Styela clava: one gene and its partners. Each later gene encodes a partner of the first gene's protein in a complex. Links are inferred from orthologs where the notes say so. Each region holds a gene or a part of one and is shown in the gene's direction. Other genes may lie near its edges. The genes, in order: nucleolar transcription factor 1-like; DNA-directed RNA polymerase I subunit RPA2-like; DNA-directed RNA polymerases I and III subunit RPAC1-like; DNA-directed RNA polymerases I, II, and III subunit RPABC4-like.

Region 1 (8,056 bases):
CAAGTAACCCCCACAACCTATCAGGTAAGTGCTAGTTTTATCAGATCTTCGTTTTTGTCTATTGTCTATATACTTGTGACTGTTTCATCACAATGCTTTGAAATTATTGAAAGTGGGAGGAAATGATGACTTTGATAAGCAAGACAAAAATGAGTTTGAAATAAAGAGTGAGTAATGATAATGAGTTTGAAAAACTTCCCTATTTGGCAATATGAGAAATACTTGTGCGGAAGGTCGCCCTGTTAATTAGAAAGAAAATTGGATAATAAGAGGTAGACCAAATAACCAATCGTGATGTTATTCGGCAGTTGCCTATTGCCCTTGATGGGCTCTCACTGAACAACTTTCAGGTCAGCTGTCTGTTTGATTGAGGCTTGCAGAATTGGATTCAAGATTTTTTTCAACCTAAAAATAGCAGCTGACCTTTTTTGCAACAAAATCTCTTGTATCCACTACAGGGTGACCCAAAAAAAAAAACCCATCAATTTATGAAAATGAAGAAATTTTTAATACTTTTCTGATGATGTATGATTGTGCCCAAAAGTTTCAGCAGTTGATGATGTTTCGCACAAAAGTTATGTTCTCTCTAAAACAGGGGTTGGTTGATTACGGTCCATCGAAGTGTTTCATCCGGTCTGCTGAAATTATGACAATAGTTTTTATGGATATAAATTTCCGTTGAAAATATTGATAAAAATAAAGTCATGATGATCCCGATTGTTACATTGTGCTTCTTATTGTTATATGAGCGTCATTACGTCAGCTTAGCTGATGGACTGGTTGTTGTAAATAAGCTCTTTTTTTATTCATAGTTTTTTGTATTGAGTTTAGAGCTTCTAGCCCAGTAACCAAGTCTATCATCGGTACCTGGCCCACTCAAAAAAGAAATTGCCCACTCCTGCTCTAGAATATGTTCCAAATGACCTTGTACTTACTGTTTTATTTGGGTGACCCTGATCATGTCCCATTCCAAATACTTACACATTTTTAGAACTTCTCATTTGTATATTACAGACAGCATGCCTATTAAAAGTACAAATGATTGGGAAGCAATATTTGGATTCAAATCATCTGCAAAAGAAGTTCTTCCATCAGCAGATGACGATCTAGGATTCGATCCATGGGTTGAATGTAGCAAAGGGTTGGCTGATTTGATGGAAAAAGAAAAGACGCAAGAGACTGGAGCTGTTCATATTAACAATGTAAGAAGAAATGTGCAAGAACTTGGATTTGTATTTTTATGATTTAGATTTATAATTTAGATTTTAAATTTTTCAATTAATGATCCACTTTTCAAAAAAAATTATGATTTATGCTCATATTTGGCAAATTGGAAAGAACTGCTGATCGGATTCTTAGAGCAGCAATTTTTCAGAATTACTAATTTTTGCCTATTTTAGCCCAGTAGCAAATGAGGCATTAAACTAATTGAAAAATTATAGGCACTCGACAAATTACTGAATAACACAACATCATACTGAAAATAAGAATCAGTATCAAGAACATTCTTTTAACTTCCTACTACGTGGTTGTGTGTCTATAACCTTGTGCAAACTCCAAAGACGAATGAAATCGAATTGAAAAAATCGGAATGAATCGAAAAATAGAATTGAAATTATGTTCAATATTTAAAATTTTTGATATTCTGAATAATATATCCTAGTTAAAATTCGAAAAATGATCATTTTTAGCAACGAATATTTCACAGTATAAATGAGTATAAATAAGTAAGTATAAATTTTTTAAATTTATATTTGATACATTTTACTAATTACATACTATTTCAGAATGTATTTAGAATAGAAGATCATTCGTTTTTGGCCACCCATGGACTAACCATAAAAAAGTTCATTTTCGTCAATTTAAATCTAATAAACTAAAGTTGTTTTCTTGTTTATAGATTCCATATTCAACCAATACCTTTCCATTTAATTCAAACCCAACGTTTTCCGATATATCTGCAACACAAAGAAGACCAACATCTTTACATAATCCCAACCATTCGGGTGTACATCAGGTAAAATGTTTTTTTTTTTTTCGAATCTCGTTTTTCGATCTAGAAGCATATTTGAAGCTTGATATACATTTTTGTTTTATTCATTTTATAGGCTGGATTTCCTGGCGGGAATGATCTCATTAATGGATTTTCCAATCTTATGATGCATGGAACATCCCAGCATTCTCAACAGCACAAAATGCCTTTCCAATACGATAATTTACAACAACGTCAGTTCGAGCAAAATCGATACAATCAACAACAAAAAGTTTCCAATCCCTTCCAACAAATCGATCCATCAGATAAGAACAATTTTTGGGATCTGCGAACTATCAAAAGCAGGGTTTTATAAACCATGGGGGCCCACCTACTCCGAACAAAGATCAAATGAATAAAAATCCTGCAAATATTACAGATTGGCAAAATGGACTAAGGGCTTTGCTGCCGAGCGTAAATATCAATTTTGCAACTCAAGGACAAATTCAGAGACCTAACTCAAGGCCTGTCGATAATTCCTCTTTAGGTTTATCCAGCTTAGGTATGCCAGCAGAACATAACAAACATATTAATATTCCTCACCCACCAGGGATTTCAAGCTCTGGTATGAATCCCCATCCCCCTTTCAACAAATCTAATATCATGCCCCCACCTGGGGTGGGTTTTCCTGGCAGGTCATCTTCTTTTATGCCATCAAGACAGCAATGGGGTGGCCCTGAATCTTCCATGTCCACACCTGGAATGTCCTCGAACAGACTTGTTAGCCCTGCTAGTTTGCAGTCCTTATTTGCTGGTGGAAACCGCTCTGAATCTAATCCTATGCCTGGTGGTACAATGCCATCCTACCCACCCGATCCTGCCATAATTCAAGGAGGCGTGCCAGGTTACGGACCCACAATGAGGCGTAATAGACTATTTGAAAATCCACAAAACAAATCTTCGCACAATAATAACGAGGATCAGCCACATTGGATGAAATCGCTGCAAGCTTTAACTGAGCCCGACAGTCCAATCCACCCTATCCCACCTTCGAATAACTCTAATATGAACCAACTTTTTTCACAGCGCCCAACAAACAGTGGTATGCCCTCGTGGCCTGGGATGCCTGGCTTATTTTCTAATTCAGGTTTTGTGCCTTCACAGCCACCTCCTGGATTTCAAGTCAGGCCTTCTCTATCAAAACCCACAGAGTTTGGTATGATTCACAGCTTATTGGAAAATCAGTCATAGGGTTGGATTTCTTTTGAACGATATTATCAAATAAAGTAATTTATATATTTGTTGGAATTTCTCTTACCATAATTCAAATAAATGCGGTTTGTTTTTTCGATCCGATCACTGATCTCTGACAAAAATGGTACACATGGTAAAATGGACAACACAATATTTGAAAAATTGTTGCAATTTTAATTTCTTGAAAACGTGATAAAAAAAATGTGGATGATTTCCACTGGTATTCTTGTGGCTTGGTGAATTTTGGTAGTCGTGACAATTTTATCGTAAATATTCAGAACATTGAAGAGCACTTTCTGGTGACTTCTGGTTTCATTTAAGTGTTACTTCTTTTTCTTGGCCAAACTTGATGGTGCTGGCATGATGTTCTTATTTGTCTGTTTTCCGCTTTATTTCAACTCAATGGTCAATAAAGATATGGATTTTTTCGCTTTTTATATGCTATTTTGTTTTGATTTGTGACTGATGTTCTTGGGCTCATGATGTGAAAGACTATTTACTTATTGGCTTGGTAGGTACTTTTTATTAATTAGGTTGCAGTCCGTGATAACTATCAGATATTGTCTAACATCGACTTTTCACAGACCTCCAATTTTATAAATTGCAGCTAGTGCTAGAACTTCAATTGAAGTTTAACCATCTGGTATATTTTGCTATGGTTTATGTGGCAGAAACGTCCCTGGGATTTTCGTTACGTAACCGCTGGTCGGTTACGGCTTCCTCCACCACTAAGTCCATGCTTCCGAAAGCAAACAATATAACTAATCCCATACCAGACTTGGAATGGTAACCGGACGAGAGGCCGTGGTTCGCCATATGGATGAGCCGTCTTAGCGGCTTTCCTCTCCCCCGGGATAAATATGTAAATCCTAACCTTAGAAGCTATGATCAAATTATGCATGGACTTTATGCATACTTACATATTTTGCCACTCCATATTACTTTTACTCATTATACCGTTAGTTTGATTCATAAAGCCCAAAGTAGGTGCTTTTAGTCTTCCGAGTGCGTTCAAAGCCAGTTTCAGTATTATGTTAATTATGGTTTATACGTGGGCAGATAAAAATTATAATCGTTGGCTATACCATGTCTGGTACGTATCCTACTAGGCTGAAGAAGACTCATTTTCAGAAATTGTGTGCGACCTGTTCAGACCCCCAAGACCCTAACAAAATGAAGACAGTCCGAGGGCTTCAGTTAACCCAAAAAGCCGAAACTGCAGGTTTGTAACAATTGCTTTGAGGAAAACACATATTTATGACTTGAAACATCTGCAACTTGAAATACTCAAATGAATACGGCTTCAAACTATGATTATAAAGGCAGCTTTTGCGCTTTATTTCAAAATTCCAACATTCTCCCTTTTGTTTTGAATTCCAAGAGTCGCTGCCGCCGAAGAAAGTCGATGTTTTCGGCGACTCGCAGTGCTTTTTTCGGCTGATGTCTCTCGAAATGCCGAGATAGATACACCGGGAAAAATACAGACAAGCGGCCTGAAATCGAGCGTTCTGATTGGGCGTCGCTATCGATTTGCGTGAGCCCGTCTGTCTGGCGTGGCGTATTGCAGTTTCAAAGCGTTAGTACAGAATTACGAGGAGGGCGTGTGCAACCAGTTCAGATCGCACGATAGTTTGAGCTCACAGAATCAAATTAGCAGACGATTAAAAACGACCACTGGAATTCGGAAATACAGCAATAAACTAGGCCACGGTACTTCTGTCGACATCAAATATAAAAGACAACCCAGACCAGAAGACTGCAGCGACTCGTAAAACTGCAAAAACACGCACGATATCGGCGAAAAACTGAAGGTAAGATGCGTTTTCATCATGCATTAGTACTAATAAAGTTTACTCAGACATCGCGACTTTAAAAGTAAGGTACTGGTATGTGTTTTACAATGAATGTACCCTTGTGAGATAAATTTTGAACAACATCTTGCTAACTGAACTGGTCAATTCGTGGTCTCGTTAAACGAGATAGCGAGGTAAACTTTGCAATCGAGGTCCGCCATATTTCTCTCGCGTTTCGCAGAGAAAGAAGGCATTTTCATCATAGTTCATTTCAACCATCAGAGCGCGAAATTTCAATCATGGTAAGCGCGAGACCACCCTATTAGAAAAATACATGGTGTCCGAAAAATTTCCCGCGAATTTATAGTAATAGCAATTAATTTTTTTTGTTTTTGACTTCATAAAATAAAATTTTTAATTCTAACTCACAATTGTTATTACTATAAAATCCGGTGAAATTCTTAATTGTTTTTACTCAGTTACTATAAAATCCGGCGAAATATTTTGGACACCCTGTATAATATATAATTTATCAACTTTCACATTAAAGCATCCCAATTTCCAAGTACAAAATAATCCTTTTTCAATCTTAATCATTGTTGTAAACTTCACATGTATTCTTGTAACATGCTATAACCTCAATGGTATAAATAACGCTAACCATGTTCGTTCCAAATCCAATTGGTTGCTCATTTTTCATGCAAATTATCCATTTGACTGTTTTAAATAATTCAGAACTATGAGTGCAAGTGTCTAATAATGTTTTTATTTTTTAGAGCATTTGTCAACATTGGGAACTTCAGATTGATATTCTGATTTGAATATGAAAGGGGCAACTAAAAACAATTGTATTGGTAAATCAACATATTGTTATCAACTCAAATCATGTCTTGTGTAGTTTCGTACCGCATGTACTTCTAGTAGACGCGGCATAACAATTTTTGCACATGTCAATCCTAACCCCTACCTGACTTCGCCATCCAAATATTATGTCTCTTTTTAAATGAGGATGGATGTTGAAACTTCAAAGTAATCTGTAAAGTAAAATATTACAAATGAATAGGTGATCTTTAAACTACTGTTAAATCATAGTTTGAAGGAATGTTGAAGTATTTCAATAAAAACTTACAGAAATTTAAAATTCATGGAAATGACATTAATATTTACAATTTTGCAGGGAGTGAGGATGGATGGACAGATGCCACAACAAAAGAACTTTTAAATAAAATGAAGCAGGTATATTAGGAGATATTATAGTAGATCAATTTTTTTATTGATAAATGAAAAATTATTATTTATATGTTTAATAAAATTCATTGGATGCCATGAACAGATCCATCACATTTTCAGTTATCAACTAATATATATCAATGCCAATTTGCTGTAATCATGAATCTTCAATTAAGTTTCTTATTTTAGGCTATTCCGAATCCAGATGTTTCTAAATATAAAACGATGTTAGAAAAATTTGAATGGGACAAAGTAAAGATGGGTCGTTTCTCAGCTGAAGATTGTAAGAAACAATGGTTCAGAGTTTATAAGAAGGTTTGTTCAAGTATAATTCTTGTTTTTGTATCTTTTTACCAAGTGCACAATTGGTCAGCATGATATGGTGGGAGGTATTTGTTGACACTGAATTCCACCACCCACATGGGTTTAGGAGCAGTTAAACCAGGGGTGTGCAACATGTGGCCCGCAGGCCCGAACCCAGCTCATCAAGCAGTTGGTGTGGCCCGTGTATTCGCCCCCCACTCATCAAGCATAAAATCCCAATCCCACAGTGCATGTTTAAAAAGACGTTCACATGGGTAAAAATATGTGTATTGATATTTGCTCTTGTCGCTGCCCTAAATCTTTCGCCGTTTTGCCCGGTGACTTTATTACTGGAAGGCTAAGCAATGGCCGTATTCTCTTTGCTTTCTGGTTGCAGCTAATTTTCCAATTCATTGTGTGCATAGAAAAACTTATTTGTTTATGTGGCTCAGCTAGATGTCTGAAGTTAGTTTTATGGCCCACCAAAGTAACTTTATCGCCTTTCCCTCTCGTGTGGGATAAATATTAAATATGCTATTACTACCTATCGCCACTGTTGAAAGTATGTTATATACACAGAACACAGTATCTGAGAATTTTCAGTTGCCTTGGACCTTGGTTTGTCTGGGATTGACTTGCTATTGTTAATATTTTATATTATTTTCACATTCAGCTGAGAAAGTTCAAAACTCTGTCAGACTTAATAGTGGATTCTCTCGATTATATTGAGGTAAGTAAAATAAAGTTGCCAATAAAACCTGAATACATGTCGTAGTTATGCTACACCCAATACGAAAAGTAATAAAATGCTTGCTTTTTAATTTATATAAGATGATTGATAAATTTACTGTTAACTTACTGTTTTTTAAACATTGTGTCGTGAAGTCTTCAGCGTTATATGTTGAGGTTGTTTACACAACAGTTATATATGTATTCACTCTGACTTAAGCTCTGAACAAGTATCTACAGATATGTACGATGCTACTGTTTCATATGGACCTGTGTTTATCTGGTGCAGCATTGTCAACCCAATTTATTATGCCCTCTCTAAGCTGGTGGGTATGGGACTTGAAACCAGATTTTTACCTACAGGTCAACGTGGTGAGTCTTACCCAGGGGTGGGCAAATTACGACTATAGTTTTTATGGATATAAATTTCCATTAAATATATAGATGAAAATAACGTCATAATGACCCCGATTGTTACATTGTGCTTATTATTATATACACGATAGCCTAGCTGTAGGGTGTTGGACTTCCTTTTGTAATTAAACTGTTTTTTTTTCATAATTTTTCATATTGAGTTCTGAGCCACCAGCCAAGTAACCAAGTCTATTATGTGTAACTGGCCCGCTCAGTAAAATTAATTGCCCACTCCTGCTCTAACCCCTAAGCCAAGAGTCGGCAACCTTTTGTCGCTCGCGGGCCGAAGGTTGCAAGTCATTGGCGGGCCGCACATATTTTTAGAAAGTTGACAAACCGAACGGATGGTACTTTTTATAAC
Region 2 (8,303 bases), on another chromosome or scaffold:
ATTTTATTTTTATTTCAGTTATATTACGAGTTCGGGAATTGTCTGGGTCAGCCAGGTGAAACCGTATACCCCGTCCCCCTACCCATAGGCACCGTTCCTTTACACAACTTATTGTAAAGTAAGCGAACAAAATTAGTTACCTCTACATTGGTACACACACTTCTGGAGCGCGCAAGAATGTTATACGCTTTTATCAATTCTTTTCAATGACAAATGAGATACGTGCGTGGAGAGAAAGCCGATAAGTAAATGTAATCAAATGGAAAAAGACACTAACCCAGTCAAAAGACGTAACGGCGAGCGCCGATCTGTGTATGAGCATTATCCAAAACCTCATTTAATTAAAAAATCTTCAAAACATCCTTCCATAACAAACGATATGGCACTCAAATGTTAATCCCCATATAAAATTTGTGTTAGTGTCTGATCGAAATGGGTAAATCCGAATAATTTATCATATATATATAGTAAAAGTGGAATAACTAATTACATGCAAACAATCTTAATTTGAAAAAAAGGTACTCAAATGTTCAATCAGATAATTTGTAAAAATAGGGAATACTGCTGATAACGAACCTTTCGAGAACTTTAATTACATAGTTGATACCAAAATCCATAAATATTCGTTTGTCTATTCATAGTCGGTCTACATTCGAATTTTTACTATTGTATATTGTTCCGTCAGAAATTTTTAGGACAATGATTCGAATGTCAAAACCAATTATTAGGTTTGTATTTTCTTTAAAAAATTTACACCGATGCCAAAATAAATACATAGTTAAATTTATTCACAACAATAAATTTTTTTAGTGGACGGATATCAAAGATATGCCATGGAATTGAATATATTTTGCAGCTTACTAAATCACGCTTCGACGACCGGTGCATTGTACTCGGGAAAGGGCGTGCTATCAGTCTCCCTGATTGCCATATCCTGTTCGCATCCCATGTGTTAAGTGTCGGAGGATTGCTGGCCTTGCTTTTGTAGTTTGGCTCATATCACTGCTGGTCGGTTACGGATACATCTCTCACCATGACTATTCGTTTTGAAGAAAAAAACTGCGGACAGGGAACAAATTCTTTGTAATCCACAAACGAACTCATTTCAATGCATAAACACAAAAATTGATTTATTTCGTAACAATGGTTGTTGTACGGGCTTTTTTTTTGTAGCAAGTAGTGTAAGTAACGTGTTTCCCCGAAATTAAGACCTACCCTGAAAATAAGACTTATTCAATAACGCGAATATTTTTTTTGACCTAGTCGTTAGCATGAAATCTCTCCCACAAATGGTTTGAATGAATCAAACACGTTTGATATAATCTATGTTTGGCGGTTCTTTTGAATAAAAACGTGTTATTTATAAGGAAATATAATTTTGTAATTTCGATTTTGATAAATAAAAATATAAGACATTCCCCCAAAATGAGCCCTAGTGTTATTTTTCAAAAGAAAACTGTAAGTAAGGCCCAGTCTTATTTTCGGGGAAACACGGTAAGTGAAAGCACATGTTAGTTCGTGAGGTTCACTAGTCAAACGTTTTAACAAGTAGTTGTAATTAGCGCTTCAGTTCAGTTTGATATTCAAAATTTGGCATTAAAATGGCTGGAAAACGTAGAAAAGTTTGCGAAGAGGGCAAAGTGCTTGGACGGAAAATATTTCTTTGTTGAACATTATTCAAAACTTATCTGCTTCACCAGCATCGTAGTTACGATATGTACTGCGGATATCATCAAAGTTGCCAGTTGATTTTTTAACACTTTGGCCATCACACAGAATTAACATAATCCTTCACACTAATGAGGTAAACAAAAGCAATATAAATTTTGAATGATGATACCGAGAAAACAGCCACGTACACGTCTCAATGAGATTTGAGATATGCGTTAAACACATGAATAGAAGTTGCGGGTGCGGAATAAAGTTTTATGTGATTGTTTGTTTACAGGCGGAAACTAATGCGCCACGCATACTACCAGTAATGTGTATATTTGGCCCAGTAGTACTTCAAGTTTGCTGACCGCCGCTTCGGTATTCAGTATGTTCGTATGTTTCCCCGCTTTTTATTTTAGGAGAGGGAGTTCCAAATTTGGGTGGTGATAGATATTTATTTGACTGATCCTCTTCACCGGCATATAAGCCACTTCCTAAATATTCAAATACATTTTTATTTACGTTGAGAATTAAAGTAAGGTGTCACACCTGATATTTAGCGGAGTTGAAATTTGGGGGGTAGGGAAATCACTGCCGCCGCCCTACATAAACTGTCAACCAAACCGGAATTCTTGACTGTTACCATGGATTGCAATTTTGGGTAAAATATTGGATGTCACATGGCTCAGGAATTATAAAAAGAAGTACCGCTAATAGCATTCTATTGACATTTTGGAGAAAAGCGATAAAAAAGTCTGTAATTACCGGTATACAAAAAATAGAAGAATACGACGATTTTGAGGACAATGGAGTGAAACACAAAACAAAAGAAAGAAAAATACGGGTCGTTTACTTTTTAACATTACAGAGCTATTTTTTAAAAGCAATGTGAAAATAATTGAACCAATGAATGATCAATATTCAAAAATGAGAGTCAAGTGGAAGAACATGGCGCGGCGGTGTGGCTCAACGGGCTAAGCGTTAGGAATACGCTCGCCACCGCACCTCTAATTACTCTGCGTGGGTTCGCAGGTTCGAATCCCATGCAGGGATGGTTATGTGCGAGAGGATTGGTGGACTCCTCGCCGTCGTTGGGTGGTTCACGTAACCGCTGGTCGGTTACGGCTTCCTCCACCACCAAGTCCAACAAACAATACAGTAAAACTAATCCCATACCCGACTTGGAATGGTAACCGGACGAGAGGCCGTGGTTCGCCATATGGATAAGCCGTCTTATCGGCTTTCTTCTCCCCCGGGATAAATATGTAAATCCTATTCTATCCTAACATGCGTCAATCAATATAATTGAACTTATCATAAACATTAGATTAAGTTTAAGTCACTAAAATGCAACTACGGTACTACGGTATTTTCTATATTTAGGTTAGTGAACACGTAGCACTTCGAATTTAAATTCTGTGCGCTATGAATCCCATTTTGGGTTTTGTTTGCTCTCCTTATTCTATAATCAGTTTTCATTTATTTATTTTTATAAACAATTTTATCGTCTGTTGTGCCAATAACTTTGTTTCGTGTTATGGTTGTGCTAATGATGGAGTCGAAATAAACTACGCCGAACTATCCTGCATGTTGACCTGAGACATGAAAATCGCAGCCTACCTCTGTGATAAAAGTCGTTGGGAAGTACGTAGCTGCAGATGACAGATGCAGATGGACTGCCAACAGGGGATAAAATAAAACACTGGTTCATGAATGAACCAGGTATATGTGTTATGTGTGAATGTAATATTGAAGAGACTTTATGTCATTTATTTTTGGAATGTCAATGGGCTGTTGATTTCTGGCAATGGTGCTGCGTAGAAAATAATCGAATTACTATTTTAGCAAATGATTCGGAATGCAAATCTAAATTAATCACAATATTATGCGGAAAATCAACAATTTGGGAATATAGAAATTCAGTAAAATATGATGAAATAGTTAAAAGTAAAAGCAGTATGCGCTCAATATTCAAATGTAAACTGATAGGAGTTTTAAATTTAATGAAAACAAGTGAAAGAAATGATTTACTATTGTATGAACATATGGATGATCTCATACATAGGTCAATCATGATGTGACATGACATTGACATTTTCTATGCAACACCAACTTAAATGGATAGTACATGAAAAGATTCCAATGTCCAAATTTATGCATCATTTTGATTTAATTCATACATAGATAGTGAATAGAGAAATGCCAAAAAACCCACTTTGGCTGTTTTCTGATTTTCTGTCTAATTTTCTAATTTCCATGCAAAAACTAACTAAATCGATTAATTATTGGTAACTATATATAAAATGTGTGCACGAATTGGATGACGACTGATAATATGGATAAACCTATATTCAATGGATATAAATTGGACTATATATGATACAAAACTCCGGTAATGGTATGGTTTTATATTTTAATTGTTACATATATTATTGAACTTGTGGGCAATGTGTTTTGAAATTATGAAATTGTTTTAATTGGGTGCAAATTATACTAATTCGACAATAAAATTAATATACGAAAATTCCGTTTGGCATTGGAATTTATTTGGCAAAAAAAAAAAAAAAATGGAATTTATTTGGCAAAAAAAAAAAAAAAAGCTGCAGATGACATTAAAGCGGACAAAACCATAAGTAAGGTTTTAAACGTACACATGTTAGATTGAAAGGTGTTGTCGAAAGAAGTCAGGAAGTGGTAAGTTACGTCTGTACGTGCCCGCTCACCCAAAAGTATTACCGGTACCGGTAACCAACAAATGAATTATTGGAAGTCCCTGGATTATATGGAATATTATATCTGATGGAATTATCTTGATATTACTGATATACGGTATATGTTTGTTCACTTGCGGTACACAATATATCTTTATTTATATTTAATTTATTTATTATTTACATATTGAATAATCCACATTGTGGATCCATTTAAAAAAAAAAAAAAGTATTAATTTAAATAAAACACACACACACATACCTGCATACTGCAGTAGTCTACTGACTGTATTCTGTTGATCACTAACTGACAAAACTTATTACCGAATATAGGTCAGATATTTAGAAAAATTGGGTTGAACTGGGGTTAGTCGGGTCAGTACGATTAGTCTTAAATTTGACTTGAGAAACAAGGAAGCGAGAAATAGTAGAGCTGTCAGGCTGTACAGTTCCACATTCAGACCATACCGGTACTGCATTAAAATATAACTTAACTAGGCCTATAATTTATTTGACTGTTTATGCTCTAATGATTTCTGCTAGTAGCGTCGTTTAGAATTGTTCCAAAATTTATCAGACTTCAAAAATATTTATATCTTTTATCATTAGATTTAACATCATGTCTAGAATAAGTTTGGAATCCAAACTTCCATCAAGTACCACTCCATCTTTGAAGAATTTAACTGTGAAAGATTTTTCTAAACTTGGAGAAAGTCAAACGGAGGCTTTACAAGCTTTAACCAGACCTCATGTCGATTCTTTCAACTGGTTTTTAAATACTGGTATCAAATACTCGGCCAGACTTATTCCTCCCATTCAAGCTCTTGTCCAAAATCGTCGTTTCTCTGTTCAATTCGTGGATGCAACTATCGAGAAACCACGTGTTGATGAAGGGTTTCGTAATTGTCGAACATTAGCTGTATATCCATCAGAATGTCGACAGCGTGGGTCAACATATCACGCTAAACTTCACGCTACCTTTTCGTATTCTATTGATGGAATAAAACAAGCGAATATTCCTGTCATGCTTGGTGTTATTCCAATAATGGTGAAATCAAATTCATGCAATTTGAGTGGGTTAACTCCTAAACAATTAGTTGCAAAACAAGAAGAAGCAGAAGAAATGGGTGGATATTTTATTGTGAATGGAAACGAGAAAGTTCTCCGTATGTTAGTAATGCAAAGACGTAACTTTCCTCTTGGTGTTGTCAGACATTCATGGAAAAACAGAGGCCCGAACTATACAGAATTTGGCATTATGATGAGAAGCGTGTCTCCAGATTTGAATGTTGCCAATATGGTTGTTCACTACTTGCGAAATGGCACTGTAAACATTTGTATTTTTCATCGCAAAGAAATGTTCTACATTCCACTGATATTTATGCTTAAATGCCTCGTTGATAAATCTGATGTTGAAATATATAAAGAACTAACAAAAACCAAGGAAGATGACACATATTTCAAAACGTGCATTCAAAATATGCTCCGACAAGCAAAATCACTTAATCTACATTTGCATAAAGATTTCACAAAGTACGTTGGAGGAAAATTTCGTATTAAACTAAGTCAGCCGCCTTGGACAACCGACGCTGAAATAACGAAGTATTTATTGCAACACAACGTTCTTGTTCACTTGAAAAACAATGAAGATAAGTTTCATTTACTTTGTCACATGGCTCAAAAAGTATTCGATCTTGCTATGAAAAAATGTGTCCCAGATAATTTGGATTCGGTCCAAAACCAAGAGGTGCTTTTACCTGGCCATTTATATCAAATGGTTTTGCGTGAGAAAATGGTTCTATGGCTTCTTACTCTATCTAGGCTTATTGAAAAGCAATCTAAGCTGAGTAAAAATCAAGGTCTGTCAATGCTAACGTCATCTGCAATACAAAAAGCAATGAGATCTGTACCTGAAGTATCCAATGCTATGTCCTACCTTCTCGCTACTGGAAACGTCACAACAAAATCAGGTTTGGGTCTTCAGCAAACCACTGGACTAGCTGTCGTTGCAGACAAGCTCAATTTTATGCGCTACATATCACATTTTAGATGCTTACATAGAGGATCGTTTTTTGCGGAAATGCAAACTACTGAAGTCAGAAAATTACTCCCCGAATCATGGGGCTTTTTGTGTCCTGTACATACTCCCGATGGGTCTCCTTGTGGTTTAATGAATCATTTAGCGTACATGTGTGAAGTGGTGACAAATCGTACATCAAATGCTGCTATTGTACCGATGCTATATAATTTTGGTATGATAGGGCCAGATTCATGTCAAGTAAAAGGTCCTAATTATTACCCAGTTTTACTAGATGGGCTTTTAGTGGGATGGCTATCAAAAAAACTAGCGAAACCCGTAGCGGATATTTTGAGAACTAAGAAATCAAATGGGGAAGATAAAATACCGAACACCCTTGAAATTTGCCTGATTGAAAGAACTGAGAAAATATCACAATTTCCTGCTCTTTTCCTATTAACAGACGTAGCACGTATGGTCCGACCAGTGTTGAATTTAGAGACAGGAAACGTGGAAATGATCGGATCATTTGAACAGCCATACATGGATATTTGTATCATTCCTGAAGAAGCACATGAGCATACAACACATCAGGAACTTGTTCAAAATTCTACACTTAGTGCTGTAGCGAGCATGACACCGTATTCTGATTTCAATCAATCCCCCAGGAATATGTACCAATGTCAGATGGGTAAACAGACCATGGGAACACCATGTCAAGCGTTGTCTTACAGAGCTGATAATAAATTATACAGAATTCAAACTCCACAATCGCCTATGGTGCGACCATACATGTACGATCATTTTAAAATGGATAATTTTCCTTTTGGAACGAATGCAGTGGTTGCTGTCATCAGTTATACTGGATTTGATATGGAAGATGCCATGATCTTGAATAAAGCTAGTTTTGACCGTGGTTTTGCATATGGTTCTATTTATAAAGGTGATCTTATTGATTTGGTTAAAATAGTAAATGACATTTCAGTTAAAGTTACATTCGGAACTTTGCCATCTGATAAAATTTCTGCGGAATTGGTGAAGACTGGAAAATTAGGAGCTGATGGTTTACCAGCAGTTGGCCAAAAGCTTGTTTACGGAGATCCCTATTACAGCTACGTGAATGCCGGTACTAAAACATTTCATCTTCAAGTTTACAAAGGACAAGAAACAGCATATGTTGATAACATCAAGGTTTTGAGCAATAACATAGGAACAGGATTGTTCAAAAGGGTGTATATAATTTTACGAATAACACGCAACCCGATTATTGGAGATAAATTTGCAAGTCGTCACGGCCAGAAAGGTATCTGTTCCCAACTTTGGCCCGCTGAAAGCGTTCCTTTTACAGAATCTGGTTTATTTCCTGATATCATATTCAATCCCCATGGATTTCCATCTCGTATGACAATCGGAATGATGATAGAATCTATGGCTGGAAAAGCAGCGGCTATGCACGGTGAACCATATGATGCCACACCATTTTCATTTTCAGAAAACGATTCAGCTATTGACCATTTCGGTAAAACCTTACGAAAAGCAGGGTTCAATTATTACGGTACTGAAAGAATGTATAGTGGCGTTTCCGGCCTTGAACTAGAAGCGGATATATTTATTGGAATTGTTTATTATCAAAGACTGAGACATATGGTATCTGACAAATTTCAAGTTCGTACAACTGGCCCCGTTGATCAAATGACGCAACAGCCTGTACAAGGCCGAAAACGTGCTGGCGGAATCAGGTTTGGTGAAATGGAGAGAGATGCATTGGCCGCACATGGCTGTGCTATATTAAACTATGACAGGCTTTTATTATCATCGGATCAAACATGGGGCCATTTATGTGAGAAATGTGGCAGCATACTATCGCCTATTTTAGAGCGAGATTTGAACAAAGGCCGTCTTTATGGGCTCGGTCGCAAAAC
Region 3 (8,609 bases), on another chromosome or scaffold:
AGGTTACGGCGTGGGTGCTTTACTTGGAGGAATTTTCTTTCAAACGTTCGGGGGAGATAAAATGTTCTTGTTATTTGGTGCCATGAGTTTGTGTGTTTCAGTATTATTCGGAATATTTTCTTTTTGTACACGTAACAAAGACGATTCTGATGTCATAAACAAGGAAGATAGCAGTTTAAATGAAGGTATGACCTGCAGTGTGACGAAATGTATTTTTTTTGCCATTTCTAGTTCTAATTAGGTTATATAGCTTCCACGTAACTTCTAGCAGGGGGGTAGACTCGGGGTCCCTATTTTAAAATAGGATAAAGCATTTTTCTGTATAATACATAGCAATTTTTCTTAGCGTGGAACGCTTTTAGACCCTCGAGACTCTTGAAAACTCACTTGGATCCGTTAGCTGTTATGGTCTGACTTTGCAATTAGAAATTTCAGAACCCCCCTCTTCATTCGAAAATTTCCGGCTACGCCGATGTCTCCTAGTTTCTGAATTTTCTGAATTTCATATTGAAATATATGATATGTGTCGTCAGATCTGTAGCTTTTGGTCTTTTAGGGTATGACATCGCAAAAGACTTGTTCGCAGTTATGTGCGTATGAAAATATTCTTAAAAGTAGGTCACCTTACTCATTATAATATTTCTTTTATAATTTTTCATATCGAAGAAAAAGAAACTCTGAAAAATAATGAAGAAGATGTTGAAGAGAAGACGCACGTTTAATTATACTCAGGGGATGAACGTTGAAACACAAATTTTAACGAAGACGAGATATGAAAGAATTGATCAGAAACTAGCCTAGTTGTCAAGAATCAAAAATGACCTTGAATGACCCTTTGTTCTGTATCACGGTCGTACCCAGGTGGAGTTGCGGGTCGTACCCCCCTTTCTTTCTGAAATGTGAAAAAAGCATTTTTTTCTATCATACATAGTGCTTTTTCTTAGCTTGTAACGCCTTTTGGACACTCAAGACCCGGATCCGCTAGATGTTACGGTCTGACTTCGCATTTAGAATTTTCAGACCCCCCTCCCCCTTCTTTTGTAAATTCCTTGCTACGCCCCTATTCTGTTTATGTATTACTAACAGACTTGTGAGTGGCTTATACATTGCAACCAGTGGTGGGATTCAGCCGGTTTGAACCGGTTCTACAGAACCGTCTCACGAAGTTTTATGAGATCAGCGAACAGGTTAGCATTGCTGGTTACTGTCAATGACTTGTTGTAACAGAACCGGGTGAAAATATGACTTCTGTGATGGAACCGGCTGACAAAAAAATTGAATCTCACCACTGATTGCAACATGTACTAATACATGCAGATCTTCGATCAACCGATTCTTACTGCGACATGTACTAATACATGCAGATCTTCGATCAACCGATTCTTACTTCAAATTGTTTATATATATAAAACGGTCTTTGTAACGTAACTTTGTTGTTCACTGCTGATATGCAAATGTGTTCAACTGTTCGTTTTGCTTGTACAGTAGGCTACTTAGTGGCATATATTATGCTTTATTTTTTTCTGGAGTTTTGTGATCATGAACTGTGAATAGAAAAATTCATGTCTATATTCGTTGGTTTCTGATTAACGTAATATTTGTAACGACCACATCGTCTTTGATTTATATAACCTTGTGAGATCTTTTCTATCACTGTTTTAGTTTTTTTTTAGCAAAACTGCTGTGAAGTATCTTAATGCAAATATATATTGCACTGTGATACATTTTGGGGGTTGTAGTGACTTATTGGCCAGGAAGACTCTCTTGGAAATGTAGTTAAGAAGGCGCTCCAGAAGTATGTGTACCAATATGGTGGTAACTAATTTTGTTCGCCTACTTTACATCAAGTTGTGTAAACTGTAAAAGGAATGAAACCTATGGGCTAAAATAGACAGTCCCCGAAATCTCAATAAAACTAAAACAAGAGAGCTATGCTCAAATATATGGACACGTAGCGCCACCCAATGGCAATAATTTTGATGAAGTCATAGCGAAAAAAAAGTAATAGCCTTCTGGAGAAAATTTTTATCTTTAACTGAAAATTTCAAAGCAATTGGTCCAGTATTCGAAGAGAAAAGCGATTTTTTAAAAATGATGGAGACAAATAACAATTACAACATAATATTGAAACGATCGTTATGTCCACTAAACGTGTCCTATAAGGAAAATCAGAATGAAATTATGGCCTAACTTGGTACACACACTGTGGGAGTACCGTTTAGAAACCTTGAAAAAACTTTCATTGTGAGAAAAATCTTCGTCACGAGTATTGCTGGTTTGCGCTTTAGTGAGGGGGTCGTTCGGGTGGGTGTTGTTTGGCTCCAAAACAACAGAAAAGCGGCGGCAAGTTTGGCAACAATTAGCGTATATTCATAGCTTTCCAAATGTAACAGCATCAGGCAATATGTACAAACCTTTCAAAATTCGTTTCTGCTCTCGGATCAGTAAGTTAGGCGATTCAGTAAGTGCCACAAAAGTCGCAGGTGAGCTAATGATGAATCCATTTCTGAACCGCTGTTTTTATTATTCTCTCAAATAACATGCCGCATCTGACGTAATACTACTTTTCTAATTCTCTCGTTTTCTCGGCATCGAAATCAAGTCTTCTAATTTCGCTCGTTACATGAGTAGCGAGGTTTTCTTTCTCTAAAATGTCTGTTTATCATAAATTTGGCAACGACAGAACGAGGAAAGTGATCTCATCTTAAACTTGAGTGGGCAGACTTTATTGTGATTCATATATTTTTACAGCGAGTTTAGCTTTTTGCCCGCTCACTGTAGTAAACTGGTTAGCATGTGAAGTCTGAAAGTAGAATTCCAGAAGACAGGAAGATGGGATTGTCTGGCTGTTGGATAGGATATGATAAGATTTTCATATTTATCCCGAGAAGAGGAAAGTCGATAAGACAGCCTATTAATGTGATGAACTACAACCTCTCGTCCGGTTACCAGTCCATGCCGTGTACCGTATCGTATGACCTGGTACAGTGGTATGATATTAGTTAGCCAGTTATTTGTTTCAGATGCGTGGACTTTATACCGGTAATGGAGTAACCCATACCTGCATACGGTACCGTACGGTACCTTACAGACATAAGCAGGTTCTGAGTTCAGCAGTTTAAAACAGTTCAACCAATACAGTACCGTATGTGTCTTTCTCTCACTTTTTTATAATTACTGAATTGTTTGGATCATTGAATTTTTAAGATTCATTTCAAAAGGCAAACTGGCTGATTCTTAAGGATTGTCTTTTGTACAGTTATGAGGTCCAGTGTAGTTTCGTACCTCAAGTACTTCTAGTGGGCGTAACTTTGGTAACAATTTTTGCATATGTCAAACCTAGCCCACCCGACTGCGTCATCCGAAAATTATGTCACTACGACGTTACAGTGATGTAATAAGGCCCTTCAAACTATACAAACTGTCATCTAAGGTGTGCAGACGATCACCCAAACTGAGAATGCTATTCATCTCGTTTCCTCAGTGTAATGATCTTGATATGAGAGAGATCGCTGCTGTTAATGAGTCCTTTATCGTCAGCGCAGATTGGGCGATTGTTGGTATACTTATTGTCTCTGAGGCGAGAGTGTCTGGCGCGTTGGCAGATGCAACAGGATGTGCTCTGCTTGTCTTGATAATATCTCGGTTTAAATGTGTTAGTTTTCAGCTTTTATAATTACCGTACTAACACTGTCTGAACCATTCTCTATTTTGTGCTTGTCTTTAGGACATATTAGTTATTATTACTTTTGTAATGTCACTAAGGCTGCTTTGATTTTCAACTCTTTGATTATTTGCTTTAGTGTAATAAAATTATAAAAACGAACCTATTTTTCAGAAATTATTTTAAACTCAATAATTTGACTCCAATCACCACAGCAAAATGCCACAGAACGAGCATATTGAGCTTCATCGGAAGCGACATGGTTATCGTCTCGACTATCATGAAAGAAAACGAAAGAAAGAAGGGAGGGAAGCTCACACACGAGCGATTAAAGCAAAGAAACTGATTGGACTGAAAGCGAAGATGTACAACAAACAGAGACGCAATGAAAAAATAATGATGAAAAAGACGATCAAAATGCATGAAAAACGGGACACCAAGCAGAAAGATGATGAAAAGACACCAGAGGGAGCTATTCCTGCTTATCTGCTCGACAGAGAGAGCCAAAGTCGTGGAAAAGTCTTATCTAACATGATTAAGCAAAAACGTAAAGAAAAAGCGGGAAAATGGTCTGTTCCGCTCCCGAAAGTACGAGCACAAAGCGAAGCGGAAGTCTTCAGAACAATTACAACAGGGAAAAGAAAGAAAAAAGCATGGAAACGAATGTGCACAAAAGTTTGTTATGTTCCTGATAACTTTACAAGAAAACCGCCGAAATACGAAAGATTCATCAGACCAATGGCGCTTAGGTTCAAAAAAGCACATGTCACTCATCCTGAGCTGAAGGCTACATTTTGTTTACCAGTCATCGGAGTAAAAAAGAATCCGTCATCTGCTATGTACACATCTCTTGGAGTAATCACAAAAGGAACAGTCATAGAAGTTAATGTGAGCGAACTGGGATTGGTAACACAAGGGGGGAAAGTAATCTGGGGAAAATACGCCCAGGTTACAAATAATCCTGAAAACGATGGCTGCATAAACGCAGTATTACTGGTCTAGATATTGTCGTAGAGAAAAAAAAATTATCCTTGGTGTGGTATGTGGGATAATCATCAAATAAAATCATACTCCAGTACGACCCAGAAGACCCAGTCAAACCCAGAAGTCTTTTTTCAGGTAGGTCATTTAAGTAGCAGTTGGGACCAATTATCCAGTCTTTATACTGACTCTTCAATTTTGCTGGCAGATATTTTGTTTTTTGATCAAAACTTTTAGACAGCAAAAAGTGTAGAGACATATTTTGGGTGATTACTGTTAATCTTATTCTGTTGCTGGGATTTCTGCGTATTCTCCTCTCTCTGCTATATTTTGATCTGTTTTGTTGTTTCATTTACCTTGTTCTACAATCAGTGGTATATTATTTTTGAATGCGTATATTCTCGCATATAAGCCGATCGTACATACAAATCGACCCCCCCCCCCCCCCCCCCCCCCCTAAAAGGTGAATTTATAAAAATTCACATATAAGCTGACCCTACATATCATAACACGCTGTAGTTCCTCCTGCGACAGCAAATTTGAGTTGCAGCTGTTGGAATTAAGTTAGCATAATGTGAATTCGTTTGAGTGCATGTATAGGAGTTATGCGCTATGAACCGACATCTTAGTTTGGCAAATATTTTGTTTTTTGAGTTTCGAACTCAGCCTATATGCGAGGGTATTCGCCAAGTTTATTCACAGTATTTTTGAACTCAAATTGAATTATTTTCTGTTACCATTCTGCCAAAAGTTTGTGAGATATTTCAAAACTCAATACTTTTTTGACTGACTTGTTGCCTTAACATTATCAACTGCAATCTGCTTTCATTTAAATTAGATTGTAGATACTTGCTATAGCTATAAATAACCATGGCTCACATTGACGATATGCGGACTAGAGTCACCATGGGGGAACATGGAGTATTAAATGTCCACACAACTGATTTCCCAGGGAGTTACGTCGGCTACGATGACGCATGGAGCCGCGAAAAGTTCATGAAAAACTTTCGGATTAATATTTTGAAATGTGACGAAGATGAAATGACTTTTGATATGATTGGGATTGACGCTGCCATAGCGAATGCATTTCGAAGGATTCTCCTGGCTGAAGTCCCAACGATGGCGTTCGAGAAAGCGTTTATTTACAACAACACCAGTATAATACAGGATGAAGTGCTTGCTCATAGGTAATTCATGAATTTTTAATGACTTTGAATTAAAAAGGGATTTTTCACATTTATCAATGAGAAGAGGAAAGTTGATAAAATTATTTTAACCACTACCTTGAGTTCAGAAGTACAATTTATGTTTAATTTTTCTAGCCATTTAAACTCGATTTCACACAAATTACAAGATAAAGAGAAAGTACACCTACCTAGGTACTTGTCATAACCATGATCAGGGGCGCAGCCAGGGGGGAGGTTACATGGGTCGTAACCCCCCCTTTGGAATCTTTTTTTTTTTTTAATAGTGTTACGTTTACTTGCAATAATTTTATTCTTTGCGTTATCACTTTCGCCCAGCGTCCTAATTTATTATTTATGTTTACGATTCGTATTCGCTGTTACGCGGCAGTGGATCTAGTTGCCAGCGGGGGGTCACGGAAGTGACAATCTACACTAAACATTTTTAGATACAATTGTACTACCTTTCACTTGACACAAATAGCAACGGACGTATCACACTATTGCCGTCAAAACTATTCCACAAGCGCGCTCTCGCCTCGCCACATTCAACGCATCCATACTTTTAATCACATACGTTATCAATGGTTATCGGCTTATCGCTAATTACGAATTTTAGTTATGTAGTGCATCTTTAACAAGCGATGGCACCAGGATCATAAGCAAATAACAGACAAAATGGATTATTGGAAATGTATGGTTCATTAACAAAGGATTGCCAAATGTGGCAGCATCGAAAAAAGGTGTCATAAAATAATATTCAATCCTCGAAAACAAAGCATTGCAAAATAATGTTCAATCTTCGAGTAAAAAGTATCGTAATATAATGTTCAATCTTCGGGAAATTTTTTTTTAAAGAATAATGTTCAATCTTCGAGATTTTTGGGTAGCAAACTCGTCCAAGACTCGTTTGGAATCGTCTGTCTGCGAAAAGCAGTTACATGCGTTGTCTTCCAGATCTTTTCAATAAACTGGTAACAATATGTTATTAAATTATAATTAAATTATTATAGTTAAATTATCGCTGAAAGTGAAGAAGCGCTATGCGCAGAATGCAGCTATCACGGGCGCGGGATTTCAAATTCGCGACGATTTCACTTTCAGTAATATAGGTCTCGATGCATTGCAATAAAAATTAGAATTTATTAACAGTTAATTGCAACAAGCAAGAGTTTTACATTGAAAGACGTTCCCAATCAGTACGATACATGAGCTTGTTTTTAAATGATTGTAATCGTTTTATGAAGTTATAAATACGGGAACATCAAATATATTTATTTTGGAAATGGATTGATATTTCGTGACGCACTCAAAAATAGTTTACGAACCATTGGCATTTGGCAAATATCATTAATTTATGCTATTTCTTAATGTTTCATGATTGCTAATATTTCATTCTATTCTTATTTTACATTTTTTGTGGTATTTCAATTAAAATCATGACGATGGCATTTTATTTAACTGTTGACAATGGGGTAATAATCGGCGATTACTAAAAGGTTGAAATGGGACATGCCAAAACAAAATAAACGAATTGACGCCTGTCAAAGGGGGCAGGGTCTGGCGACAAATAGCCACATGTGTCGGTGTTTCTCTATCATCGGCATTTTCGGCATCACTTTGAAACTCTAAAACGCAATGACACCCCGCGGAGTGAAGACTTTCTTTCGCATAGGGAAATATTTGAATTACGATTGCTGAATAAGCGAAAAAAACAAATGCTTATTTTCTTGCTTGAAACAACGATAAACCAATTTAACCCTGTTGCCAAAAGTAATAGCATGCATTATTAACAAACTGGTAATAATATGTTGATAAATCGCCGCTAAAAGTAGAGAAGCGTTATGTGCAAATATCACAGGAATTTGAATTTGCGACGAATTCACTTTCAGTAATAAAGTTAACGGCGCATTGAAATGAAAAGTTGATTGATTTTTTTTGACCAAAGAGAATGGTCGGCGATTGCTGAAAGTAGGACATGCAAAGAAAGGCTAATGAGACACAGCGACGCACATGTTGTTTTGCCATCGTCGGAAAATCTTTTTAAAGACCTATAAACGCGTATTTATTTCACCATAACCCCCCCCTTGAAAAAATCCTGGCTGCGCCCCTGACCATGATTGTCTAGATTTGAATCTACGAACTCCTATCATGATAAATATCAAGTGTGTTACTATCGTTATCACAGCGTTTCAATCTTGCATTTACTTTATTAAGTAGAGAGGAAAGCTGAATAATTATTTTTGCAACTAGTGAATATCAATTGCACACAAATTAAGAAAAAGTAATATCACACAGTTAAATGTAGTACTCCCATTTACTGGGACATAACCATTACCATCTGGATTTGAATCTGTGAACTCTTATATGGGCAAACACCAAAGGTGTTCATATCGTTATCACACCGCTTCAATCCTCCAGTTGCTTTATAATTTTTCCAATTTGAGTCGATTTCTTTGTAACATGTTTTGCCCATTTATTTCAGACAGTGATACTAGAATAATACTCGAAAAATGTGGAATGTTTAAAATCTCGCTCATGAAATATACATATCACAATTAGTATTGAATAGAAATCCCTAAACTCAGAGTTACAAGTCAAGTTGAGTCATTGGTTATTTGATCCGATTCTCCAGTATAATCAATCTTTATATTAAGTCGTCATCACATTTAGATAACTCGACTTTTAGTCTTGAAAAATGGTAATTTGAAACTCGGGTTGAGCCAAGTAATCTATCCTTCTCAACACTGATTTCTTATTTCCTAGACTCGGCCTTATTC
Region 4 (6,333 bases), about 4.5 Mb from region 1:
TCATTTTGTTAAGGTCCGTAATTTACCTTATTCGACTGAAGACGTTAAGCGAACTGTCTTGAATTGCCTTGTACGCAGAGAGATAAAACCTAAATACTATCGGCCTGAAGCAGGAACTCTTGTAAAAGCGACTCAGCCCTTTGAACGTTTAAGTATTGACTTCAAGGGACCTCTTCCGTCGAACAATCGCAACAAATATTTTCTCTGCGTAATTGACGAGTTTTCACGATTTCCCTTTGCTATTCCAACACCTGATGTTTCGGCCGCCAGTGTCATAAAAAATCTAACTCCATTGTTCGCTGTATTTGGAATGCCTGCTTACATACATACTGATCGTGGTTCGGCTTTCATGAGTTGTGAGTTTAAAAGATTTTTGCAAGAAAAGGGTGTGTCTCACAGTAGAACAACTCCTTACAATCCTTCGGCGAATGGTCAAGTAGAAAGGTGCAATGGTACAATTTGGAAAGGAATAAAACTTGCTTTAATGTCAAAAGGTTTGCCAATTGAATGTTGGCAAGACGTTCTATTAGATGTTTTGCATTCCATCAGATCACTATTGTGTACTGCAACAAATGCAACACCACATGAACGGTTGTTCAATTTTGCAAGAAGATCTACCACAGGATATGCCGTTCCAACGTGGCTGACAAATTCTAAAATTGTTCTTCTCAAGAGACAGATTAGAAGAAACAAATCTGATCCATACGTCGATGAAGTGGAACTTCTAGATGCGAACAGACATTACGCTCATATTCGGTATTCAGATGGTAAAACCTCAACAGTATCAGCAAAGCATCTTGCACCGTGTGGTGATGGTACGTCGTTTGGAAGTGAAAATAATGGAAGTTCCTCCGATAATCAACATTCTCAATTACCTGTAAAGCAGGCTGATACAGCAGATTCCGACTATGTACCAAAAATATCGCATCCCGTTATCAACCAATCAGAAATTCAAGAAGGGGAAGAAAAGTCAAATATTCCTGGTGATGATGAAAAACGCGAAACATCCCCAATGAAGAAGATAGACACCCCGGCTCCTAGGCGTTCTACTAGAGAAAAACGTCCAATTGATCGTTTACATTACTATTAGTGAAATGTTTATTAAACTTTTGTTAAATAATCTTTTAGGAGGGGGAAATTGTGGTGTTAGTATTTCTTTACAGTGTAATTATCAGATAAACAATGTACTCTTGATTGCTCTGGTTCTGTCGTACTGCACACTTTACTGTTTGCGTGTTATTCTATTGTTTACAGTGTTAAGTTGTGGTAGTGGTGTTCTTATGTTTAATAAAGCCTAGAATCGGTATCCTGTTATAACAGGTGTGCATAGGTGGGATTCCAGAAAATGATTAGAATTGTTTGCAGAATAATAAATGACAGGACATGAAATATACATAAAACGATGGATTAATTTGGCAGGATATACCAAGAATAATATATACAAGTACACTATAATCTAATTGTAGGGCCAAAAGAGGCCAGTTACCAGCCATTGTAGCATGAACCGCAATTAAGGAGTGGAGGAATATATTTGAATGTAGCAAGTGAGTTTTATGATTGAAGAATAAAAAATTTATATAACAATTATATTAATGCAATTAAACAAGTTATGAATATCAATTTTAGACAAACCATGAATTATTGAATCGTCAAAAGTAAACTGGTTGTTATAATGAAATGGTATTGTGATTCACACTCAACAGTGCATGCTTTTTTAACTATAACATATGAGATTTAATATGAAATTCACAATATGAAATTTTGATTACACTCCACATCTAATTATTAAAATGAATTAGGAATACTGGATTGTATAATGAAATTCATTTAGGTTCTCACCTTCAGATTTACCCAGTTAGCCCAGGTCATTAACTACTGAAAAGCATAATAACCACATATTTAAAATTTACACATGTATGTGTACATCTCAGGAATGTCTAAGCCACTATGTAAATATATATGATGCCGTACATGAAGAGCATGTAGCAAGTATTGATAAATCTTGAACCCTGGTTTGGAAAAAAGAATAGAGTGAATAAATATCACAAAATGCTACAAAAATGTATCCTACATAATTCCAAGATCTAGCTAGGTTTCAAAACATATTGACTTGCAATTTGTTAGCCATATAGTTGGACTATACCATGACACATACAGGGTGGCCCAAAAGTAGGTATACAGTTATTAAATTAATAACTATGAACTATCAGGCACTAGTCATATGTGTAAATCCACTAAACCAATACATGGAGAACAAGTTAAAATAAGCATATTAGACACATGTCCACATCAGTATCCCATCGAAATTGGAGGACTTAAACTTTGCATTTAATATTTGGATATGATGTATTTCATGAACTCAAATTTAAATTTTTTGTACGAGAATGTTTTTAGAATGTCTGGGATATCATTCCAAATTTTAGGGCCTATGAATTTGTTCGTGAAATAAAAAATGCTCCCTTAGAAGCGGAACGAGTACCATAAGAATGCACAGAACTACATTCACTAAAATACAAGTCAAAGGCCTCTGGCAACATACTATGCCTGAATTGAAACATTAATTTAGCAATTTCATAGATATAAACATCATTCAATTTTAGGAGGTTCATACGCTTGTAAACGGGGCTCATACTATGATGCAATGGAGTATTGGTCATAACCCGAAGAGCTCTATTTTGTAATACAGTTATAGCATTAAGTCTAGTTTTATCAGCGGAACCCCATGCCACAATTTCATACTGTAAGTGCGAATAAAAGAGAGAAAAGTAAACAGTTCGCATGATTTTTTAGGAATTGAATTTTTTATCCTTGTCATTATTCCTACAGACCTAGATAGTTTCAATTTCAGGGAGTTGATGTGTCGGTCCCATTTAAGCTTGTTATCTATGAATATTCCAAGGTATTTAACTGCGTCATGCACGTTTAGTCTAACACCACTTAGAGTAAAATCAGGACAATGTGGATACTTGATATTTTTATTATAGGGATGATTTATTAGTAGTACCTGTGTTTTCTCAGGATTTATAGTTAACTTATTAGATTTCATCCAATTAGAAATATTTTGTAAGTTTATTTTGACTAGATTGGACAAATCAAAGATACTGGAAGATATTGACGTTATGTTTGTGTCATCAGCGAAAAGTTTGAATATTCCTGAACTACAATTTACTACATCATTTATATAAACAAGAAAAAGGGTTGGGCCGAGAACTGAGCCCTGGGGCACGCCAACAGAAACAAGTTCATGAGGTGATTCATTGGCAGAGACGGTGACAAATTGATTTCGACCGTGCAGGTAACTAGAAAATAGTTTACTCACAGTACCGCGGATCCCATAATGTTCCAACTGTGTCAAACGCCTTTTTTAAATCCAAAAATATACTACAGCCAACCAAACCCTTATCAACGATTTCATAATATTTACTAATTATATCTAAAATTGCATGTGTAGTCGAGTGATGATTTCGAAAGCCAAATTGATCGCTATTAATAATAGAGTGTTTATTAAGGAAATTTTGGAGGCGACTAAGCATCAACTTTTCGAAAACAATAGAGAGGCATGAAAGTATAGAGATGGGTCGATAATTGGATACATTATTTTTTTTTCCAGATTTATAAACGGGAACAACTCTGGCAACCTTAAGATGATCTGAAAATATACCAAAAGAAACAGAGTAATTGAAGAGTTTGCAGAGAACTGGACTAATTGTACTGCACAAAAGTTTCAGGAGATAAGCTGGAATATGGTCATACCCGGTTGCTTTGTTAGTTTTTAAAGAATTGATTATATTTACCACTTCATTCAATGAAGCATCTTCCATAAACATAGACAATTTGTTTGGAGCGCTCATGAATTTTAGATGCTCATTATCGCTCACATCGTGAAAAGCCAAAGACAACGTTTGCCCAATCTGTGAAAAATACCTATTGTACTCCAAGTCTGCAATTAATTTAACTCCTAGGAAGACAGAGTGATCATTGAATTATATGATTTTTTATTAAGTTTCCAAAACACAACTGAAAACTAACGAATAAACGCGAAAACGAGGTAATGTTAACAACTATGCTTGAAAATCTGTCTGAGTGAGAAAAGTGTCTGAGCGGATGCGAAAAGGGGGCATTGTTACGATTGGGAAACGCTGTTTTAGGGTCAAAGGTCGGTGAGCTGTAGGTACTCTCAAAGCAAAGTGACTATAAACTTTGCTTCAGTAATTCAGTTCAAAGTGAATATTATCACTTTCGGTGCCGATACCTTATGATGTGATCGCATCGTGTGTGCGATGTAGGCCAGATTCAGATTCAGATATTTATTTTCGTCATGCAAAAAACAATGCGCGATATGAAAAATGAATAAATAATATAATGTAACAAAATGTCAAATGGATATCGGCTTGTTGCAGTTGACGCGGAGTCGCGAAAAGACTCATAGAGTCATCTAGTCAGCGACACCTTGTAGCTGAAATTAAGCAGCAAATATAAGAAACGGGACACTCAATATTACACATTAACTTGATAAATTAACACGATCATACAAACAATGATACGGCGGTATCTATTTGTAGTCGATAATCAAGTCTTGTGGGGAATGTGTTTGAAATTATGAAACTGTTTAATTTGGTGCAACTTATACTACTGTACTAATTCGACTCTAAAATCTATTTACGAAATTTCCGTTTGGCATTGGAATTTATTTGGCGAGAAAAAGATAATCAAGTATCTTTTTATCACATTTCAGTTGTAGTCTATATACGGTACCGTATGTGGTATTGATTTGTTAAAAGAAAATGGACACACCATCAAGCTCCATAGCTGCCACACCATCAGGACGAACGCCAGGCAGGACCCCTGCACATGGTGAAGTTGTTCCCCATCAACCAAAAGCAATGATATATATTTGTGGAGGTGAACTAATTTTAACAAATTACAGCATTTTTGTATGTGACCATACTCATATCAGATAATTGTGTGTCTGCTTTTCGGTCAAGGCAACAGACATTCCAAACAATGTGGTGGGATCCAATAATTAGTTTCCCTTGGATGAATGACCATTTTAATCCAATGGCAATCTCAGAATCAAGGTTACCTTTCCACAACCTTTTGCTACTAAATTATTTTTTAGAATGTCATCAAGAAAATGAAATAAGGTCTCGTGATCCAATCCGATGTAGAGAATGCGGTTGCCGAATTATGTACAAGAAAAGAACAAAAAGAAGTAAGTGATATTGAATATCAAATATGATATTAAAGGCTCAATTTTATATTTTTTCATTATTTTGTTCAGTGGTGGTATTCGACTGCAGATGAGAAGTTTTGATGCACAACCATAATAACGTAAATCCATTGAAGATTTTTCTTGTGACAGTGAGGGGAAAAGACTTATAAATCGTTAACTTTCAAGACGTTTCTGTGATCTACCAAGTTCCCTGTTCCTTTGTAACTGGATTATTGTACTCCACTGCCTCACCACATGACTTTCTATTAAAAAATTTGTTCTCCAGAACATCAATAAACATTATATTGAATAAATGGCAAATGAACTTTTTTCTATTTTGACATGCAAGCTGTTTGAGATACATTGGCATCGTTAGACCTTTAGCATTCAATAGGACTTGTATGCAACTATGTTTTGAGAAATGTTCATACTTTGCATTATGGATATTCATTCAGTGGTTTGTAGCCAATATGCAAATGTTACCCCAGCGCAAGACGATGATGTATGGGTCTAGTGTAGGTTAGTACTACAAGTGCCTCTAGTGGGCTTGGCCAGTTTTGCATATGTTATTTCTAACCCCCACCGGACTACGTCATCCAAAAATTATAGCTTGCGCCGAAGTATAGCTAACGGCAACGATCTCTCTCATTTTGGGTTTGTTTGTTACGAGAAAATAGCTTGCTCGACTTCAGTTAATCGTCTGCGCGCTTTGGACAACCATCCGTATATTTTGGTGGGGTTCAGGAATGACCCCCCAAAAATGATTGACAAGTTCCAAATTATATTCTAAACATTTTGAGTAAGTTTGCGAAATGACTTGGCATTGCTGTAAGTACCATAACCCACTGGAACATATGTGTACATTTTTGTGTCCCTTGATTTAAGCTGTGACATGCATGTAGGACAATTTCATTGAAAACTCAATATAAGATCTTGGATGCTAATGCGTGTAAGCACAATTTCAAATTTGTAGTGCTACCTACTATTCATACAACCGCCTGTTGCTTTTAGTGCATTTTATTCACCATTAGTATTACAGTCAAGCTGGTATGAAATATAAGGTAGCTCTTAAATTTCTAAATCATTATCTAAACTAGTAAAAATTGTCTACTTGATTACTG

The links.
Region 2: nucleolar transcription factor 1-like (region 1) and DNA-directed RNA polymerase I subunit RPA2-like share a complex: the UniProt entries of both Homo sapiens proteins name them as parts of the pol I pre-initiation complex. The link is inferred for Styela clava from reciprocal best matches to the Homo sapiens genes UBTF and POLR1B.
Region 3: nucleolar transcription factor 1-like (region 1) and DNA-directed RNA polymerases I and III subunit RPAC1-like share a complex: the UniProt entries of both Homo sapiens proteins name them as parts of the pol I pre-initiation complex. The link is inferred for Styela clava from reciprocal best matches to the Homo sapiens genes UBTF and POLR1C.
Region 4: nucleolar transcription factor 1-like (region 1) and DNA-directed RNA polymerases I, II, and III subunit RPABC4-like share a complex: the UniProt entries of both Homo sapiens proteins name them as parts of the pol I pre-initiation complex. The link is inferred for Styela clava from reciprocal best matches to the Homo sapiens genes UBTF and POLR2K.

Annotation. Positions count from the first base shown.
Region 1 is NC_135255.1:6,648,831-6,656,886, reverse strand, and holds the start of nucleolar transcription factor 1-like, read left to right. Parts: upstream 1-4,633; 5' UTR 4,634-5,037; intron 5,038-5,795; 5' UTR 5,796-5,842; coding exon 5,843-5,873; intron 5,874-6,196; coding exon 6,197-6,255; intron 6,256-6,438; coding exon 6,439-6,564; intron 6,565-7,225; coding exon 7,226-7,282; intron 7,283-8,056. UniProt on the Homo sapiens protein: Recognizes the ribosomal RNA gene promoter and activates transcription mediated by RNA polymerase I (Pol I) through cooperative interactions with the transcription factor SL1/TIF-IB complex.
Region 2 is NC_135261.1:7,951,268-7,959,570, forward strand, and holds the start of DNA-directed RNA polymerase I subunit RPA2-like, read left to right. Parts: upstream 1-4,973; 5' UTR 4,974-4,983; coding exon 4,984-8,303. UniProt on the Homo sapiens protein: Catalytic core component of RNA polymerase I (Pol I), a DNA-dependent RNA polymerase which synthesizes ribosomal RNA precursors using the four ribonucleoside triphosphates as substrates.
Region 3 is NC_135263.1:3,694,865-3,703,473, reverse strand, and holds the start of DNA-directed RNA polymerases I and III subunit RPAC1-like, read left to right. Parts: upstream 1-5,483; 5' UTR 5,484-5,515; coding exon 5,516-5,832; intron 5,833-8,595; coding exon 8,596-8,609. Other genes in the region: uncharacterized protein LOC120341273, read left to right, coding at 3-185, 667-722; ribosome biogenesis protein NSA2 homolog, read left to right, coding at 3,884-4,666. UniProt on the Homo sapiens protein: DNA-dependent RNA polymerase catalyzes the transcription of DNA into RNA using the four ribonucleoside triphosphates as substrates.
Region 4 is NC_135255.1:11,192,861-11,199,193, reverse strand, and holds DNA-directed RNA polymerases I, II, and III subunit RPABC4-like, read left to right. Parts: upstream 1-4,714; 5' UTR 4,715-4,784; coding exon 4,785-4,902; intron 4,903-5,119; coding exon 5,120-5,212; intron 5,213-5,281; coding exon 5,282-5,304; 3' UTR 5,305-5,547; downstream 5,548-6,333. UniProt on the Homo sapiens protein: DNA-dependent RNA polymerase catalyzes the transcription of DNA into RNA using the four ribonucleoside triphosphates as substrates.